2 linked regions of the Coturnix japonica genome follow. The protein of the gene in region 1 purifies or fractionates together with the protein of each later gene. This does not show direct contact. Links are inferred from orthologs where the notes say so. Each region holds a gene or a part of one and is shown on either strand. Other genes may lie near its edges.

What was found.
Region 2: the proteins of CORO1C (region 1) and ACTR2 fractionate together in Homo sapiens (co-fractionation; 3 studies listed by BioGRID and IntAct, with this or other methods). This does not show direct contact. The link is inferred for Coturnix japonica from reciprocal best matches to the Homo sapiens genes CORO1C and ACTR2.

The regions. Positions count from the first base shown.
Region 1 is NC_029530.1:5,697,139-5,701,157, reverse strand, and holds part of CORO1C (coronin-1C), read left to right. Parts: intron 1-742; coding exon 743-942; intron 943-4,019. UniProt on the Homo sapiens protein: Plays a role in directed cell migration by regulating the activation and subcellular location of RAC1. Increases the presence of activated RAC1 at the leading edge of migrating cells.
Region 2 is NC_029518.1:1,512,548-1,517,327, forward strand, and holds the start of ACTR2 (actin-related protein 2), read right to left. Parts: upstream 3,134-4,780; 5' UTR 3,020-3,133; coding exon 2,972-3,019; intron 1-2,971. UniProt on the Homo sapiens protein: ATP-binding component of the Arp2/3 complex, a multiprotein complex that mediates actin polymerization upon stimulation by nucleation-promoting factor (NPF).

The DNA.
Region 1 (4,019 bases):
TTGCTTCCAGGGCTGGGGTTCACACTTGGTCCCATACCTGAGTCTTCATCCAGCACTGGAATTTTCCATGCTGGTCAGTTTCCCTCTATTTTAACTCAAACCTTCTTGAAAATCCTTTTCTCAAGAGAAGTGCTACAGACACGCTAAGTTAATTTGAGTCATTAGGTTGTTTCCATTACTCCTTTCTGCCTAGGAAACTTAATTTTATTATTTTTTTAGTGAGATTTTGGATTGAGAAGAAAGAAGTGGAAGCTGGCTGACATGTGGAACCACTTCACAGGAACACCGGATTTTGAGAGCTTGCGTTTTTATTTACATCTTCTGGACCCTGTCTGACTTGAAAGTAAACAAGTTCAATCCAAGCCCAGATTTATCCCTGAAAATATGCGGAGACTTGTCTAAAAACTGCTTTTAGGATTAGGGACTTCCTTTGCTGTAGAATGAGCGTCTGCGATGGCAATGCTGACACTTAACCAGCGAGCTCCTGCTGCAAAACACCCCTTGAATGTGCGGTTTGGTTGTGTCAAGGATGAAGCAACCTGTGCTGTTTGTTAAGTGTAAAGCAGCTCGAGAACTTAGCAGGTCTACAGGAAGCTTCCTGTGAATGCAGCAGTGTGTGAAGCTGCATTGTGTAGCGGCGGTGCTGGGTGACAGCAAGGTGACAAGCCCTTGACTTGCCCTCTAACAAGCAGCACATCCTTGCACGTTGTTAACCACCTTCTGCTATTCCTTTTCTCTACAGACACAATGAGGCGAGTGGTACGACAGAGCAAATTCCGGCATGTGTTTGGCCAGGCAGTGAAGAACGACCAGTGCTACGATGACATCCGTGTCTCACGGGTCACCTGGGACAGCACCTTCTGCGCCGTCAACCCCTCCTTCGTTGCCATCATCGTGGATGCGAGCGGCGGCGGGGCCTTCCTGGTGCTGCCTTTGCATAAGGTAAGTGCTGCTGGGTTTCTCACTTTTAACATGCTCAGCCTTCCCTTGACACTTCAGTGCCTGTGAAGTCTCTGCTGTGTTGTGACAAACGTTGCTCGGTTGTGCTGTGTAAGAACACATGTAATGCTGCTGGAGTCAGGACGCTTCCTGTGCATTAAATGCAGTAAATAAGTAGTTTGGCTTGACTGATCTAAAACAAATCTTTTATGTCAGAGGTTTCTGAGTTGAACTCGTGCTCCTCTTAAAGCCTCTCCATTTGTGCTAGCTGCAGACAGGCTTTTCTGCCATCAGGATTTGGCTCCATGAGCTTTGAGAGTTGCTAAATTCAGGAATGCTCCCTTCAGACCGGGATGGAGTGGGTGGCACAGCTGGATGCTGCTCCATGCAGCGCGTATGCACAGCCCTTGTGACCATGGTGCTGCTGGTCTGGCTGCTGCTTGTCCTGTCGTTACACTTCTGTTGTATGGTGTGAGACAACAGCTCCAGGGCCATCACAGCACTCTTGCAGCTCACCCAGCCTGTGTGGCTGTGTCTGGGCCCTGATGCTGCAGCCAGGTCTTGCTAGTCCTTAGTACCTGACACAGAGAGAAGCATTGCTTCATCTGAGCCTGTCCCTTGCATTCTCTGTGCCAAATGCTGCTCAGTCTCCAGAAATAATCCCACAGTGAGGCTGTATGTACAATTTACTTCCCTTTCCTTTGAATATTTTTGTAGCTCCTCAGGCCTATGCTTTGTAAAGCACACAGAAAGGATGGGTTGCTGCCCACCAGCTACAAGAATGGCTGCATCAAATAGCTGGAGGAGGCTGTATAGATTGGCATGGAAATCTCCCTGCCAGTCTCATAATGTTACGGTATAAAAGCAAACAGAAGAGCAGGAGCAGCATCTCAGACTGAAAGAAATTCTATAAATTCGTTCTGCCCCCAGGTATCACGTGGAAAAACCACAGTGCATCTTTCATCCTTGCAGAGGAGAGTGCTGCTCTCCTCTCCCTTTTCTGATGTGCTGCTTTTTACCACAGTCAGATTACAAGAATGCTACCCTGCAAATCTTTTGACAGGCTCTTGGCCACCCCAATCCCTTCATGTGTTCGTAGTTAAAAAACAAAAGCAAGAAACATCAAACCTAAATGCATTACTTCATCTGAGTAATTTCTTTCCACAGGAATTTTCTCTCCTTTGAAACTGTACAATATGTAAGAGGGATAACTTGATGGAGGTAGAAGGGAAATAAACGTCCTTAGGAATGATAGAGGATTGTATTGAGAACGTTTCTTGCTCTCCTCAATTCTGCATGTTTGATGCTTCTAAAATCGCATGCCTGGCTTCATTTATGCATTTAGTGTAAATTCTTGCCATGTTAGATAGAGTCAGTAGTCCAATACGGATACAAACTGATTCTAGTACAAACTTAGAGCTGCAGCATTTGGATGGTGTTGCTTTACAGAAGCAGTTAGATTTGGGTTCGTAACCCTTTAGATAAATGGTTCTTTCCAACAGAGAAGCACCAGATCAGGGAGCCTGCTCTGTGCTGTGCTCCAGCAGCTCCTGGTGTTTCCTTGTTCTTTCAAAACCTTCCTATTTCTTGTTTAAGATGGCATTTTGTACTCGTGTGAATGAGGAAAAAAGAAAAGCTACTATTCCTCCTTAGTAACGTTTTGTCTGTGACCCTCGTGCCTCTCTTAGCCGTACTCTTCAAATGTTCTGTCTGTTATCAGCCCTTTTTCTTAGCTCTGTGTGCAGATCTGCCCTGTTATAAATAGCAGTGGTGGCCAGAAGTGAATACAGCGTTCTGATGGGGAGTGCATCACAGGAGCAGACGCGGCGAGTTCTCACTTCTGCCTTGCTAGCTCTAACGAAGCAAGCCAGCCCCCAGGCTCTTACATAGCTCTGCATTTTGCTCATCTCTTTAGCAGCTCTTTGCAGACATTCTGGGTTGTGCTGCCCTGGAGCTGCATGTCCTGCTCCTCCCCAAGCCTGGTGCCAGAGCACAGACCTGGGTTGGAAGCCCCTTGCTCAGTTGCTGTGGCATTGCATGCCTTGCAGCACTGCCCTGCCAGGACAGGCTCCTATTTTCCCCTTGCTATGTGTTATTATTTGGTAGGTTGTTTTTTTTATTTATATATATATATTTTCATTTATTCAGTGATTCCTCCTGCTATCCTTTGGTTTCACTTCTGTCTTCTCAGCCACATTCCAACCCTGTTTTCAAGTTCCCATATGACAAGGTTTGAGGCATGGCTGGTTGCTGAGGGCTGCTGCTCTTAAATCCCTCAGCCTGATGATTTCTTTTGCAGCACAGCACGCTGTGGGCCGTGCTCTATCACTTCCTGCGTTCCTCTTCTATTTCTGCCTCTGTAAGTGATGACACTCGCTCCTTCAGCTCCCTCAACATCTCCCCTCCCCCATTCTGAGTCCATTTAGCACAGGTGTTTGAGTTCCCACAGCAAGGCGCTTGCTGTTATATCCTGGAGATGAAAGCAGTCACTTTTACACCTTGCCTTTGATACGCTTTTAACGTTTAACACCTGATGTAGCTCCAGCCACAGGGAAATCAACCCCCTTCCACTTCCCGGGGCATCACTCTTACAGTCTGACCTCAGGGAGCTGTCAGCACGGCTATAGAGCTGCAGGAGCTCAGCGTAACACCGGGGCTCAGCACTTCACCCCTCCTGGTCTCTCTGTGCTATACAGGCTCTGCCGGCTCCGGACCGCGCACGTGTCACTCCCCCGCCCTTTCCCGCGCCGCGCGCGCGCGTTCCCGCGCCCGCCACAGCGGCACTGCGGCAGCCGCGGCTTTTTGCCTTATATGGTCATGACAGCGCTCGGGACCGCCACGCTGATTGGCTGGGGAGGAGTCGCGGCGCGCCAAGTGCGAGCCGGTTAACCCTTGCGTGACCAGAACCGGGTTCGGTGCCGCCGGGCTGCTTTGTGCAACCGCCTTGTGAATGGGCCTGGAGGGATTCATCATATGGATGAGCCTTCAGACTTGCTGGGAATTGCGATTCCTGCGGGGAGAGCCGTAGATAAAGTGCTTGAATCCATATCCATTATGGAGCTCAGATAATGGGCTGATCA
Region 2 (4,780 bases), on another chromosome or scaffold:
TCTGTAAAGGCAACTACTTACCGACTCTTGCTGACATTAGGACAAAGAGTACTGGGGAGTTACACAGATCTTATCTGTGTATTCAAGAATGCACAGCTGCTACGATAAGCAAAGGGCCACGTTTTTTGATCACCTACCTGGACATGCCAAAATCCCAAATGTTTTACACCACAGGAAACATTCGAGACGTTCTGAAGGACTGAGCTGAGTGTAAGTGAAGGTTTACAGATTCACACACAGACATACAAGAAAACTGAACTAGAAAATGCTGAGCTACAAAGATACTGTTCTAAGTTCTGACTCTCTCAGCTGTAAATGTAACTTTCAGTCCCTAAGTTAAGCCCTAAGGCCTTGACACACCTTGCTGGGTCATTGCACAACAGTAGGATACTGGCAATTCACAGATCTGATAGCTGAGCCATTCACCTCAATCTCACTCATTTTATTTTGCATTGAATAACCCCGTCTCTCCCTTTCAGGTTAGAACCAAGAATCTGTAAGGATGACCTTTTTTTACAAACTCTACGTGGTTAACCAAACAGAAGGGGCAAGTTTTTCATTCCACCTTTCTCCCCTTCAAATCCACCTTGTTTCCCCAGGCCACATGAATCATCAGTGAGCACTGAAGGCAGCCCTGTAGCCAGTATCCCCTGGTGGGAGATGCTGAGTGTCCTCAGGGTACAGCACTGCCCCCACCACCACGGTGAGCACTCAGCTAGGAGGCTGGTGATGAAGCAATGTCAGATTCTAAGGCTGAAGAAGGACACTTGGTCAAACTACCAAGAGATAAGTGATAAGAGATAAATGCACCTAAGCAACAAACACACATCCACGTAACTGAACTGTCTTGGAAGAAGAAACATATGATGCTCATCCTCTCTTTCAAAAGATCTCTTGAAACATCTGATTGAATGTTATAAGCTAGTTTGGAATATAATCATCTTCTGGAGCCAAATATGAAATACTCAGTGTTCTCTCTACCGTCATGTGAAGCCCTCTATTAAAACTGAAGTACAGCATTGTTGTTGCTCTGCCATCCCTCCTCTGTGCAGCCCTTGGAGCAATGACTTCAGTACAACACTCAGCGCACACCATGGCTCAATGACTTCAGTACAACACTCAGTGCACACCAGGGCTCAAACACCAAAACCAACACTCAATGGATTTATACACCTCTTGGCAAGGAAGCCAAAGTTCACCATCATTCCTTTTTGCAAGTGCCTGCTACACATGCAAAATGCTTTAAGAGCAGCTACTTCATTTGCCTGCCCGTGTGACCATTTTACCATATATAGTTTCTTCTCCATTGCACTGTGGTTTGCACGGGCTCTTTCACTTCCTACTGAGTCATCGAGCAGCAAGAACTTGAACGTATAAGTGTTCTTCCGAACTAAAGAATGAGGAAGCTCCCAGACACCACGTGACAGGCTTTAAAATGAACACAGTCATATTCTTACTGGGGAGCAGTGTTTGATTCCTTCAGTTGATGCAACTCTCAAACAAAACCTCTAAATACTATTAGAGAAACGTTACAGGCCACTCAGTTACTTTCTGCTTGTCCTACAGAACACCCACCTCTCACACTCCTGCAGCCCAGATGCCATTGCCTGCCTCCATTCTGCACTACATGTTGGAAGAACTTCCTTCTAGTCGCCTCTTCCTCAAAGCAGCATCCAGACAAGTTTAAAGTTAAAGCTGCAGCTGAGTTTTCTAGTCTCTGTTTTTAATGTGATATTTCTGGCACCTGACTAGAAACTTAATTTCGCACGTTAATTATGACATATCACGGCATATCAGAAATCCTTTTGATATAAAGGAGGTCACACATGAAAACAGTTACCGTGAAAAATCCCATTTTGACAAAGTAGGCCTAATTTGACATATTCAATTCCCAGCTGAAGTTTCAAACACCTTCCAATGCCAAGAACACAATTTTTTTCTGGTTTAATTATCCTAAATTGACCTCCATATTTCAAGCTGACTGATTGAACAGCCGTGTCCTGATACCTCGTTCTTGCACAGAGCTGACTCTGATACCTGCACACATGCACTGTTTGCTCGGAGGGAAATGCAATCTAACCCAGCACAAGCCGAAGTGACACTGGCCCCTCCTCCAGGCCCCCAACAGCAGCACAAAGGCACCTCACCGTGTTACTTACACCCAGCTGGTACAGCAATACAGCGCTGTGTCACCAGCTCCAGCCAAGTGCTGCACAGCTCACTGCTGCACTGCCAGCAGGAGGGCAGCACTGAAGGATGGAGGGGGCTCCTGGGGCATGTGCCTCTTGGGCCAAGCCTGACAAGGAGAGCATTAAGCACTGAGAACGGGGGTGGGGAAAGGAGTGAGGGGTGGAGGGAGGGGGGAAGGCCTTCTTTTTCTTATCCTAATCGATACAGTGGGCAGTGCCCTGCTGACCCTCGGCCCTATTCAAGATCGTTTTCCCTGGTAGGGAGAAACACGAGGAGGCACCGGGGCCGTGAGAGCTGCGCTGTCAGATCCCTGCTCTCCTCACTTCAAACACTTGACAGCACGCTCCGCAATTCAAGAGGCCGGATCCTTACCAACGCCATCCTTTGTCTCAGCCATTCCGTCCTCGGCTTTGAACGGTTTTTTCTTTATTCAAAACGCTTTTTTATAAATATAATATATATATACATATAACTATTTTTCCTCAGGGGGAGGCACACAGCACACACCAGGCTCCGCCGTCTCCGCGCTGCTCTCAGCCGCTTCCTGCCTCCACGTTACGAATCGCGGGGGCAGGAAGGTGGCGGATCGCAGGGGCAGGAAGGTGGCAGCGAGCCCCGACCACCTCAGCGCCGCCCGCGGCCCATTCATTCCCGGCCGCCTCCCGTTGGCGCAGGCCCCGCCGCTGGGCCGCACAGGGCGCGGCGGGCGGACCGGGCGTGCCGGCAGGAAGCCGAGCCGGGGGAATGGCTTTTCTCCCTCCCACCGACCCGCGGGACTCACCCCGGTGCCGTTGTCGCACACCACCACCTTTCTGCCCAGCGTGTCCATCCCTCCTCCGCCACCGACCGATCGATCGATCGACCGCCTGCCCGCCCGCCGCACCGTCACCTCACGACGCCGCCGCCGGGCCGCGCGCCCGTTCTGCCGCCGGAAGCCGTCAGCGCCCCGTCGCCAGCCAATCGGAGCGGCGCTAGCACCTCCTTCGCCCCGCCGCCAGCCAATCGGAGCGGCGCTAGCGCTCCTTCGCCCCGCCCACCGCCGTTGCCATGAAGGAGCAGCTCCACAGGATGGAGGAGCAGCCCCCCAGGGGGAAGGAGCGGCCCCACAGGGCGGTGGGCATGGAACAGGCGGCCCAGTGGGCACAGCAGCACTGCCAGGGCTCAGGGACAGCGCTCACAGCCATAGGGGTTGGGTGGTGCTGTGTGGAGCCCGGCCTTGGGAGCAGTGATCGCTGTGTATCCCTTCCAAGTCAGGGTGCTGCAAAGCATTGGGCTGTCTGAATATACAGCAGTTCACCAGCACAGTGGTGGTGGAACCAGCACAGTGGGATGGAGCAGCTTCCTGGTTATTCTGGAGCAGCAGCAGCTGTACCTGGGTATGAACTACACTGTGATACAGATACATTTCGCATTAATATTTTCAGTTTTTCAATATGTGGTGTTTTCATATTCATACAAATGAAGGGCTTATGGTGTTGCTTGACACGTGTAACAGATACATACAACAGTTGCCTTAAACGACAGTTCTTTGCCCAGAAATGTTAGTTGATCCATGTATCTGAAGTGACTCATCTTGTTGAACCCACTGTACAAGGCTCAGATTGAGGAGGTACCCTCTGCCTCCTGCTCTACTCTTTGACTTGCCATGTAAGTCTGGATGCATTGCTTAACCTTCCCAGATCTGAGTGTAATGAGCTGGATATGTACCATGCCATATGATGCTTATGCTCGTGGATAAAGCACTTGAGCTCTGTGAATGAGAAGTGTTTCAGTTCTAATCCTCTGTTGATCAGGCAGACAGAACGCTTCCACTGTGTTTCCTTACGTAGCGAGGTGTTCTCCACTCTGAGATAAACTGGCCTTTATTTAGGAGACCTGAAGGGGGAAAAAAAAAAACAACCAAATGATGCATTTGCTATTTTTTTCTGAGCTGAAACATTCAGTAGAACTCAAAAAATATGTTTATTAGTTTAATCGTATCCCATTAATATACGTCCCCGCAGATTCTATTACGTAAGCCTTTATCTACCAGGGATTTGGTCTATTAGTTAGGGAAACCCAAGGGATTAATCTGATAGCTGCAGTCAGAAATGACAGTGTAATTAAAGTCACCCAGGAAACAGTGATACTGAAGCCTGTCAATCCCTGCAAAGCAAACGGTTAATTTGCTGCATCTGGCATAATATATAAGGTGACATACTAAAGGGGATGTCTCCTCTCTTAGGCGGACATGATGCATTGACTTGCTGTGGCTTTAGCGAGAGGGCAAGGCTTTGTGTAGAAGGTAAGCAAAGTATGATGACTAAGTGAAAGCTGAAGCTTTTACTGCATCTGTCTTGTATGGAGTTGAATAGGCTCTTAGGAACTTGTCAGTCAGGAGACCTGCCTTCATCCTAATGTGCAGGCGTAGAGACTGTGTGAACAGAGGCAGGAAGCACTCAGAACAGAAAGGGAAAATGGGCTACTGATGCATGCAGAGCTTTGCTTGGTATAGCAGGCAAAGGAGGGTCCAGGAGGAACAGAAGATATCTGTTCTGAGTCTGGTCAGCCTGAGAAAAGTCCTTAACAAGACAAAGTGGAAGCCTTGAGG